3 linked regions of the Xenopus tropicalis genome follow. The protein of the gene in region 2 interacts with the protein of the main gene of each other region in a biochemical or structural test. Links are inferred from orthologs where the notes say so. Each region holds a gene or a part of one and is shown on either strand. Other genes may lie near its edges.

What was found.
Region 1: the proteins of cdc5l (region 2) and prpf19 form a complex in vitro, tested with the Homo sapiens proteins (2 studies listed by BioGRID, with this or other methods). The link is inferred for Xenopus tropicalis from reciprocal best matches to the Homo sapiens genes CDC5L and PRPF19.
Region 3: the proteins of cdc5l (region 2) and ctnnbl1 form a complex in vitro, tested with the Homo sapiens proteins (3 studies listed by BioGRID and IntAct, with this or other methods). The link is inferred for Xenopus tropicalis from reciprocal best matches to the Homo sapiens genes CDC5L and CTNNBL1.

The regions. Positions count from the first base shown.
Region 1 is NC_030683.2:60,615,695-60,619,353, reverse strand, and holds part of prpf19 (pre-mRNA-processing factor 19), read left to right. Parts: intron 1-541; coding exon 542-617; intron 618-719; coding exon 720-829; intron 830-3,659. UniProt on the Homo sapiens protein: Ubiquitin-protein ligase which is a core component of several complexes mainly involved pre-mRNA splicing and DNA repair. Required for pre-mRNA splicing as component of the spliceosome.
Region 2 is NC_030681.2:148,154,883-148,158,541, forward strand, and holds part of cdc5l (cell division cycle 5-like protein), read right to left. Parts: intron 1,759-3,659; coding exon 1,570-1,758; intron 122-1,569; coding exon 1-121.
Region 3 is NC_030686.2:39,413,751-39,417,098, reverse strand, and holds the end of ctnnbl1 (beta-catenin-like protein 1), read left to right. Parts: intron 1-363; coding exon 364-501; intron 502-1,532; coding exon 1,533-1,605; intron 1,606-2,189; coding exon 2,190-2,278; 3' UTR 2,279-2,744; downstream 2,745-3,348. UniProt on the Homo sapiens protein: Component of the PRP19-CDC5L complex that forms an integral part of the spliceosome and is required for activating pre-mRNA splicing.

The sequences.
Region 1 (3,659 bases), on a different chromosome or scaffold from region 2:
TCTATAGAAGTCAGAAATCTCAATAAAACTGTACATATCAGGTATTGGCACGTTCGGGAGACATGAGGCTTTCCAAATCAGTTGAATTTTTGTCCATAAAATAAAACATGTTTCTGGTAGAAATCCTTCTATCATGAAAAATAGCATTTTTTCTTTTTTTTTTTTTTGTATTTCAAGCTCTAAATCTTGTTCCTGAAGTGGAAATACACAAAAACTCAGGTAGATTAGGAAAGCTCAGGTTCTCCTGAAAAAAACTATATATAGTTTGCCTACCTAAACTTAACCCTGCCCCCAGTAAAAGCCCCTAAATTGAGAGAGCACAGAAAGTTTACAAAACGTCTGGCACTGAGGGGAACTGAAATGTCAAATTCTGCTGGCACTTAAAGGGTTAACCCCATGGTTCCTGTGTCCCCCATAGGACTAGAGTGAAAAGGATTTTATGGTAAGTAAAGAAATCCCTTTTAACATGAGGCCATATACAAACTCAATTTTGTATTATTCTGTAAAAAATGCCTCTAATTACCACTGTGTATCTATTTAGGGTCTGCACAGTGCAAGTGTCCCTGGTATTTTGGCATTGGATTTGTGTCCAACTGACACAAACAAAACTCTTACTGGTAAGGATTTTACCCACTTTCTGCTTGTCATTAATGTCTTTAGTGGAAACACAGAGAGCAATATTTATTCTTGTTTTTGCTCTTTTTCTTTTTGTCTTGTAGGTGGGGCAGACAAAAGTGTTGTTGTGTTTGATGCACTATCGCAACAGATCCTTGCTACTCTTAAAGGTCATACCAAGAAAGTTACCAGTGTTGTTTTCCACCCATCTCAGGTATGCATTTTTGGCAAATTTAAGACATACATGAAACTTTCCTTCTATTGATTGCTTTACTTGTCCCAGAGGTTCAACTTAGCTTGAATCATTCCTGTGGCTTCAGCAGTTTTTTGGAGCTAACTATAATAAAATGTACCTGATTTAGTGTGTCTACTTTGTGGTCCTAAATGTACTGTTCTGCCAACACCTAATTCAGACCCCCAATAAAAATGTCCATGGTTATACAACTACATCCACATTGTTGGGGGAAAAGAAGAAAACACTTTAACTACTAGAGCAAAATAGACTTTAATAAGTTCAGGTCCAGCCTGGTACAAAACATTCCTTTTGGGGACAATACATATTTGTTTTGTTTTTTTCTAAAACGCATCAATTAATAGAGCTTCTCCAGCAGAATCCTGCATTGATATCCATTTTATTATGCCAACAAATTCTACATGAGGTGCCACAGCCATGTGACTTGACACTCTTTACTGTTGGAGTGATATTGCCCCCAGCAGCAGATAGAACAATGGGCAGGTAGCAAGATAGCAGTTAGTTGACACCTGTAGTAATCAGAGTAGCACTCCATGGTAAAAAATCCAAGTCTGCATTGTGACTCCTCCTCCAGTTACATGAAATAGGAGAAACATTATGTTATCTAAAAGCAGTTCTAATGTGTAGCATTGCACTGAGATGGCTACCTACACATCAATATTATAACTAAAAAAACAATTTATTGGCTTAAAAATAATTTATTTACATGGTAGAGTGAATTATTTGCTATGTAAACAGTGTAATTTAGAAATAAAAAATACACCATAAAACTCATGACCAGAATCCCTTTCAATATTTGAAGCTGTCAGGGACAGATTGGTTAACACTTCAAAGGTCCCTAAATCTCCCCACCCACTTAATTAACATTCTTTATGTTTTTATTGAGGGATGATGATTTTGTTCAGTGGTTTGTCAAATTAGTTTTCTGAAGAGATGTCATTGGTTTAAAACTTTTTTTAATTACACAAATGAGTAGAGTTTCTAGGCTTAGTTAGCAAATACAGGCATTCAGTCTACTTACATATTTTGTTTGTTTTCTGGATGGCTTTGAAAATCACTAGCTTATGAATAATATATATCATATAAAGCAGTGCTGTCCAACTGGCGGCCCGCGAACCCCCTCTGTGTGGCCCCCCACCTGTCTGGCTGCTTTGATGGCTTACTCTTGTGTAAGCTTTAAATGGTATCAGTACTGTGATTAACTGGCCCCTGCATTGCTCACACCTCAGATTCAGGCTGTAATCAGGCTGTATTGTTTAAATATGTAATCCCCTGTGTTGTTCACACCTTTTAATCTCTGCATTGTCCACCCCCTGCAGTGTTCACACCTCAGGCTCAGACTGTAATCACCCACATTGTTCCCCTGTTCACACCTCAGACAAGACTGTAGGAGCAGTAGAAACCCACAAATAACCCATGCACACTACAAAAAGAACATATACTGAGGTGGTACTGCAATTAAAAAGTTTTTTAATATATAGTTATTGTACAGACTGTAGGAGCAGTGCCAGCATTGTCACTGTATGCTGGCTGTGTGTGCCAGGGCAAGCAGAGTATGGCACACACAGGCAGCATAGGACAGGCAGAGTATGGCACACACAGGCAGCATAGGGCAGGCAGAGTATGGCACACACAGGCAGCATAGGGCAGGCAGAGTATGGCACACACAGGCAGGGTAGGGCAGGCAGAGTATGGCACACACAGGCAGGGTAGGGCAGGCAGAGTATGGCACACACAGGCCAAGTATGGCACAAACCAGCCAAGAATGGCGCACACAGTCAAAGTATGGCACACGCAGGCAGGGTAGGGAAGGCAGAGTATGGCACACTCCGGCAGGGTAGGGCAGGCAGAGTATGGCACACACAGGCACTCAGGCAGGGTAGGGCAGGCAGAGTATGGCACACACAGGCAGGGTAGGGAAGGCAGAGTATGGCACACTCAGGCAGGGTAGGGCAGGCAGAGTATGGCACACACACACACAGGCAGGGTAGGGAAGGCAGAGTATGGCACACACAGGCAGAGTAGGGAAGGCAGAGAATGGCAGGTTTTTGCTGTACTACAACTATTAATATGGGTATGGTTTCAAGTGGGTGCGGTTTCAAAAAGGGGAGTGGTCAAAACTGGCTTCCATTATCGGCCCTCCACCACGTAGGTCGGAAAAATTCCGGCCCTCGGTATCACAGAAGTTGGACAGCACTGATATAAAGAATAACAATAATATTATTACTCTGACCTAATATTTTTCTTGATCTGTAGCTGTGATTCATGGGTGTATTATGTTATTGGTGTTTATCCATATTTTGAACCTGTAAGGCTACCTTTGTAGTTAACAGATTTTGTACATAGTTAACTATTCACACACATTTTGCTGTATGGGACAGTTTTTTTTAAAAATTTCGTTTTACATAATTATGGTTGTCCATAAGACAGCTGATTATATATATATATATATATATATATATATATATATATATATATATATATATATATATATATATATATATATATATATATATATAGGTATATATATATATATATATATATATATATAGGTATATATAGGTATATATAGGTATATATAGGTATATATAGGTATATATATATATATATATATATATATATATATATACAGGTATAGGACCCGTTATCCAGAATACTCGGGACCAAGGGTATTCCGGATAAGGGGTCTTTCCGTAATTTAGGTCTCCATACCATAAGCCTACTAAAAAAATCAATAAACCATTAATTAAACCCAATAGGATTATTTTCCATCCAATAAGGATTATTTATA
Region 2 (3,659 bases):
GCGTCTGTACCACTTGTCTTTGAGGTGTAACTCCTGAAAAATCGCTTTCGTGAAGAGGAGTGTTGAGACCTCCCTTTAATGGTGTATCCACATTGGTGAGGGCCATCAGATTCTGCGCTTCCTGTAAGGTACAAAAATAGGGGGTGGGTGCAGAGAAAGGCACTTTGAGCTATAATGCACGCTTTGTAGAACTCAGAACTAGTAGCAGATGAGTTTCAGTCAGTTTCTTCTAATTCCTTTATCGCTGTGCGCACATTGTAAACTTATGTGACCATTTTTTAAAAAAAGTCCCCAATTTCCTGTCTGTTTGGTGGGGTTTTGGACAGAAGGTCCTCAATTTCCTGTCTGTTTGGTGGGGTTTTGGACAGAAGGTCCTCAATTTTCTGTCTGTTTGGTCGTGTTTTGGACAGAAGGTCCTCAATTTCCTGTGTGTGTGGACAGCCTGCAGGCAACCTGTCTGGGTACCCAGCAAAAGTGCGGGAGTGAGTTCCCCTGGGGATGCTGGTCTGGCTGGGTGTGCCTGACTGGACCTTTGCAGTACTTTAGCAATGGCTATAGATTTACAGCAGGAAAGGGGAATTATATCTTGGAAGTACAGTTTTGGTCCACAGTAATCAAAAAATGGCATTAGTGAAACAGAGAAAATCCAGAAAAGATAAAGTAAGTTAATATAGGGTATGTAAAGTCCAAGTTGTTGAACAAAGGTTGGCCAATTGTGCTGGTTTACACCAAATATGGGACCCATTATCCGGAAACCCATTATCCAGAAAGATTCACATTCACAATATTTCACATTTTTAAAAAATATTTAATTTCTCTGTAATAATAAAACAGTACCTGTACTTGATACCAACTAAGATATAATTACCCCCTATTGGGGGCAGAACAGCCCTATTGGGTTTATTTCATGGTTAAATGATTCCCTTTTCTCTGTAATAATACAACAATACCTGTACTTGATCCCAACTAAGATATAATTACCCCTTATTGGGGGCAGAACAGCCCTATTGGGTTTATTTAATGGTTAAATGATTCCCTTTTCTCTGTAATAATAAAACAGTACCTGTACTTGATCCCAACTAAGATATAATTACCCCTTATTGGGGGCAGAACAGCCCTATTGGGTTTAATGGTTAAATTATTCCCTTTTCTCTGTAATAATAAAACAGTACCTGTACTTGATCCCAACTAAGATATAATTATCCCTTATTGGGGGCAGAACAGCCCTATTGGGTTTATTTAATGGTTAAATGATTTTTTAGCAGACTTAAGGTATGGAGATCCAAATTACGAAAAGATCCCTTATCCAGAACACCCCAGGTCCCGAGCATTCAGGATAACAGGTCCCATACCTGTATATTAAATTACACTATCTCCTGGTGAAAGCCATGGGACAAAAGTGCATCCCTTCAGACCAGAAGAAAGGTGGTTTTATCTTAAGGAGGGAAAAGAGTTCAGAAGAATAAAAAGAAAAAAAGAAGGCAAGGAACAAAAAAATTCTACAAAATAACAGAACTGAATATAATTTAGAAACATTGCACCCGTCACAGCGTGGAAGCACCCATGTACCTGCAGTATGCGGTCCTGCGCGGCTGGTGTCTTGGGCGTCCTGAGGGCCACACTATTATTGGCGACATTGTATTCCGACAGTAACGTGCTGGAAGCGGAATTGGTTATACCCGACTCCTCTGCCGTCTGACGAGCTATTTCACTCGCTTGCCCGATCTTTACCACTTCTTCCAGTTCAGCATCTGAAATCTAATGCAACAGGAGAAAGTGTCATTCCGGGGCATGTTTCTCGCCACACGTATTTATCATTGAAAACACAAGGTGGGTTACACACAACACATTCCTTAGAGATTCCCTATAGATTGGCCAATTCTAAGCAACTTTGCAGTTGGTCGATAGTTTTTGAATAATGTGCCACCTTCTTCTGACACTTTCCAGCTTTAAATGGGGGTCACTGACCCCGGAAGCCACTACTGAGAACTAGTGCTCTGTGAGGCTACAATTTATTGTTACTTTTTTTACTATTCAGGTTCCCTCTTATTGATATATCAGTCTCATATTCAAAACCCTCCCTGGTTGCTAAGGTAAGTTACACCCTGGCAACCAGATAACTGCTGAAACCCCAAACTGGAAAACTGCTGAACAGAAATTCAAAACATTAAAAAACTACAAATAAAAATTAAGACCAATTGCAAATTGTCTCAGAATATTACGCTCTACATCATACTAAACGTTAACTCAAAGAACAACCCCTTTGGGATGGGTAGTGCTTTTCTGACTGCTGCATTGGCCCCAATTATTTCCCAAGAATCACCTGCACCCCAGGAATTAAGTACTTCCAAATGTAACTCTATTTCCATTACATTAAAAAAACAAAGAATAATGTCCCTAATACATATGGAACAGTTTATGGAGTCTTTGTTTTATCAGGAGTTTCTGCACAGTTAATGAAAGATGTATCATTTATTTTCTTTTTAAACAACTAAAAGTAAAACTTGCCATAAAATTGGCATGCCAAGTGCCCCACCCACCAATCCCGCATTCCACTGCCAGCCTTGAGATTTTAAGTAATTCCCAAAGTTGCAAAGCTGCCATATACTTGCACTGAAACGTCACCTAAAGCTAGCTAGGCATGTAATGTCTGCTGGTCATTTGGCCCCGACCAACATCAGATTATAATTACTGCCTATGCAAATACGTCCCGATAGCTATCTGGTAAATTTTAAGTTAGCTATCAGACGGGCTGTTTAAACACTGCATGGCCAAAAAACTGCCAACTTGTTCTGCAAGGGCCAAATTAGCAGCTAATATCTGTCCAATAAGGGTGAAGACACACAGAGCTACTAGTAGCTGCTACTTTTTCATGGCTACTAAACCCCAGAAAATACCCTGCCATAGACAATACTGAGACAGTTATCAGTAAATGATCGGCATTGTCTATTTTAGTAGCTGCTACTAGAAGCTCTGTGTGTCTTCGCCCTTAAATGCACTGATCAACCAGCTTGGTAACTAGGATATTACCTATAGGAAACTGTTTTAAGGCTATTTTTTTAAAATGTTTACGGTGTCTGATCACTAAAGCAGGGATTAAGTTAGAAAAGAGTGAGGTCCTGGCAATGGAGAAGGATTACATAAACTATCTACAGTGGAGGAAATAATTATTTGACCCCTCACTGATTTTGTAAGTTTGTCCAATGACAAAGAAATGAAAAGTCTCAGAACAGTATCATTTCAATGGTAGGTTTATTTTAACAGTGGCAGATAGCACATCAAAAGGAAAATCGAAAAAATAACTTTAAATAAAAGATAGCAACTGATTTGCATTTCATTGAGTGAAATAAGTTTTTGAACCCTCTAACAAAAAAAGACTTAATACTTAGTGGAAAAACCCTTGTTTGCAAGCACAGAGGTCAAACGTTTCTTGTAATTGATGACCAAGTTTGTGATTGATTCTGTGGACAGGTGTCTTTTATACAGGTGACTAGTTAAGACAGGTGTCCTTAATGAGGTTGACTAATTGAGTAGAAGTGTCTAACCACTCTGTGGGAGCCAGAACTCTTAATGGTTGGTAGTGGTTCAAAAACTTATTTCACTCAATGAAATGCAAATCAGTTGCTATCTTTTATTTAAAGTTATTTTTTCGATTTTCC
Region 3 (3,348 bases), on a different chromosome or scaffold from region 2:
ATTGCATGGCTGCTCTGAAACCAGTGCAATTTGCGTCAGACTGTAATAGCCCTATAAGCAAACCTCATTTTCTGCTTGATTTGTGATAACCCAAGCTAAGCTTCTCAGCAGCCACCCCAGAGCCCACTGAGCATGTGCAGTGTCGCTGACACTCCTAGCAGAAACCAAGATGGGGAGCTTCTGGGGCAACTGAAGGTCATTACAACTAGAGATGCTGAATCTTTAAACTGGTGCAATAAGTATATAAAATATTTGGCATTTGTAGCCTTATTCATTATTAGGGTTCAGTTCTCCTTTAAATATTTTTACTTCCATTTCCCTTGTTTTGCCACCTGTCCTTAATGGAGTATGTTGTGCTGGCAGGATATGGTGCGCCGAGGGGAGATTTTAGATGATGATGTCGAGGAGGAGTTTTACTTGCGAAGATTGGATGCCGGCCTCTTCCTGCTTCAGCTCCTGTGTTACGTCACAGCGGAGATCTGTAACAACAACCTGCCGCAGGTATGCCCATCCTGCAACCCACCAGCTCTTGTTCATCTTCAGGTTAACTTTTAGTACAGAATGGAATGTCCTATTCTTAGCAACTTTTCAGTTGGTCTTCATGTTTTATTTTGTATACCTTTCCGGCTTTCAAATGGGGGTCACTGGCCCCAGCAGCCAACAAAACTATTGCTCTGTGAGGCTACAATGTTATTGGTAGTGTTACATATCTTTCTGTTTAGTCCCTTCTCTAATTCTATCCCTGCCTCTCTTTCAAACCACTGCCTGGTTGCTAGGTTAAATTGGACCCTAGCAGCAAGATAGCTGCTGAACAAAAAAACTAAACAATTAAACAGGCAATAAAAAATAAAGACCAATTACAAATTGCCTCAGAATAGCACACTCTACATCATACTAAAAGTTAATTTAAAGGTGAGAAACCCTTTGAACAATCTGTGGTAGGACATTAGTTTAGGAATATTGGATAAACTTAGGAAAACAGTGAGAATAAGATACTTAGGAGGGAGCACCGTGTTTCGTATTGCAGTGATGCCTCCTCATCCAGCTACAAATTACACAGATATTTAAACCATCAGAATTTCACCATCCCTCAGTTTTAGTTTGCCAGTGCTCAAATGGCCTTCCAGCAGTGGTCCCCAAACCTTTATGGGGTGTAACCATCTTTATATGAAATGCAATAGCCTGCTTTATTAAGCAGGGGTGATGATTTTTATCATCTAAGGAAGAGATGGATGCATACGCTTGGCGTTGGGTAGCGGCACAATAATTGTTTAAGCAATAAGATATAGTAACTGTTGCTAATAGAGATATTGGCCTATGTTCTTCCCTTCTGTGGGCCGGTACTTAATTATTATTATCCCCTGTTGCCTAATCCATGCTAAATTGGCTTTGTTTGCATTCCTCCCATGGCTGCTTCCTACCTTCTCTCCTTGCTTGCAGTTCCACTTCTTACTTTTTGATCAACACGTTATGGGATTTCCTTTCCCTTTCTTGTCTCTTTCACTCACATTTTCTTGTGCTTTTAATTCCAGATTCGCCAGAGAGTGCTGCAAATTCTAAACATGAGGGGAAGCTCTGTGAAAATCATGAGACATATTCTAAAAGGTAAGTTTTAACTCAAGAGATCCACATCCCCATATGCTGTACTGGACTGTCTTTTCCCCATTTTACATTACTACTTCCTCTGTCAGATTTTAAGGGTTATTTATATAATATATGGAACAAAGGGCCAGGGGATTATATGATACGTTATATGATACGTGAGTGAGAGGCTGTAAAGTTTATATGGAACTGAGAGGGTGGGGTTATAGGGAAGAGGAAAATGGAGGCACCAAGGGGGCTGGTGTGAGTGTGGATAGGCGTGTAATATGGGGCAGTAGGAGGAGTTATAAGGAAGGGGGTAAGGGAACAATGGGGGAATTATAGCTATGGGTTATATGGAACAATGGGGGAGTTTTATGTAGCAATAGAGGAAAGTACAGGGAAGGGAGTGGGTGTACTGTGCTTAGCTGACAGTAAGGGATACATGGGGACTGTAAGAAATATGTGGGGACAACAAGGAATATATGGGACCTTCTAGGAAACTTCTTCTGCATCTGTTCCATTACTTTGCCAGTTTTTCTTATCGGGAGGGCTGTCACTTTTTTTTTTCTCCATATCTAATTTCCCTGCTTATTTTTACCCTGTAGAATACTCTGAGAGCATTGGTGATGGGAAGAGCGAAGAGTTCCGGGAAAGTGAGCAAAAGAGAATTCAGGAGCTGCTGGAGACGCTATAACACCTACCGGCCTCCTACAAATGCACCCTAAATACCTTGCCCCGAAGGATCTATATGTAAATAGAACTTTTAACATTTGGATTTGCCATTTTTTCCTGCAACCCACCCTCTGTCCATCTGCTACATTTTTTTTTTGTCTTTTGACGTGAGTCCAAGGTGATGCCATCCAAATGTCCATGTTTGGTATTTTTATATAAAGTACAGTAATAATAATTTGCATCTCCTTCTGTGTTTTAAAAAGATTGCTGAATCACATCTTTGGCTGGTAGGGGTTATGCATGGGAAATCACTCCCTGTAGCCGTAAGGCTTTAGCTGCTATTTACTGTGCCCTTGCCCAAAGGGCAGTGAGTAGGTTAACACTCCTGTCACAGTAAGTGAAGCCTTATGTCTGATCATATTTACGGCCTGTATTCCGATACTGTATGACATGCTTTTGAGTGTAAAGAATAAAGCACTGGCTCATTGGCTTGTTTCCCTGCCACTCAAATGCCAGACGCTGCTGTTTAAAAGATCCTGTTTGGCTTTCGGATCAATAACTGGCAGAGGCAGCCATCGAGCAGACACTTGAGACAGGCTGCACCTCTGGCGCTCGGATAAAACTCGGCAAGGATGCAATCGATATATCAGAATGGCTATTGTCAGCCGATAGGAGCGCTCCTAAAGATTCCCAGAACTGGAGGCTATTGATCTTATGGCAGGCGTCTGATAATTGCTCGCTGGGGACGGGGGGACAGGGGACATATAACCTCTGAAAATGCAGTTTCTAGGGAGATTCTAAGGGCTACGTCATGCCTGTGTCACTGGGACTTTTCTGTAAATTACTGATTTTTAGCTGCAAGTATATCTTCTCCCTTTAATCCTCCTTTCCTAACAAGCTGCCAAATGATAACTTGGTGCTGCATTTTGCGTACTAACAACTATAGACCGTATTAAATGGGGTCTCCTTTTGACTCCCACATAACATGGTTGATGGTTCTGAATCATATAGTCGACAAACAAGAGCTCCCAGTGAAGCGAAGGCTTAGAATACTGATCCAAATCTGGTCCTCGGTTTTGTCTGATTCGTGTC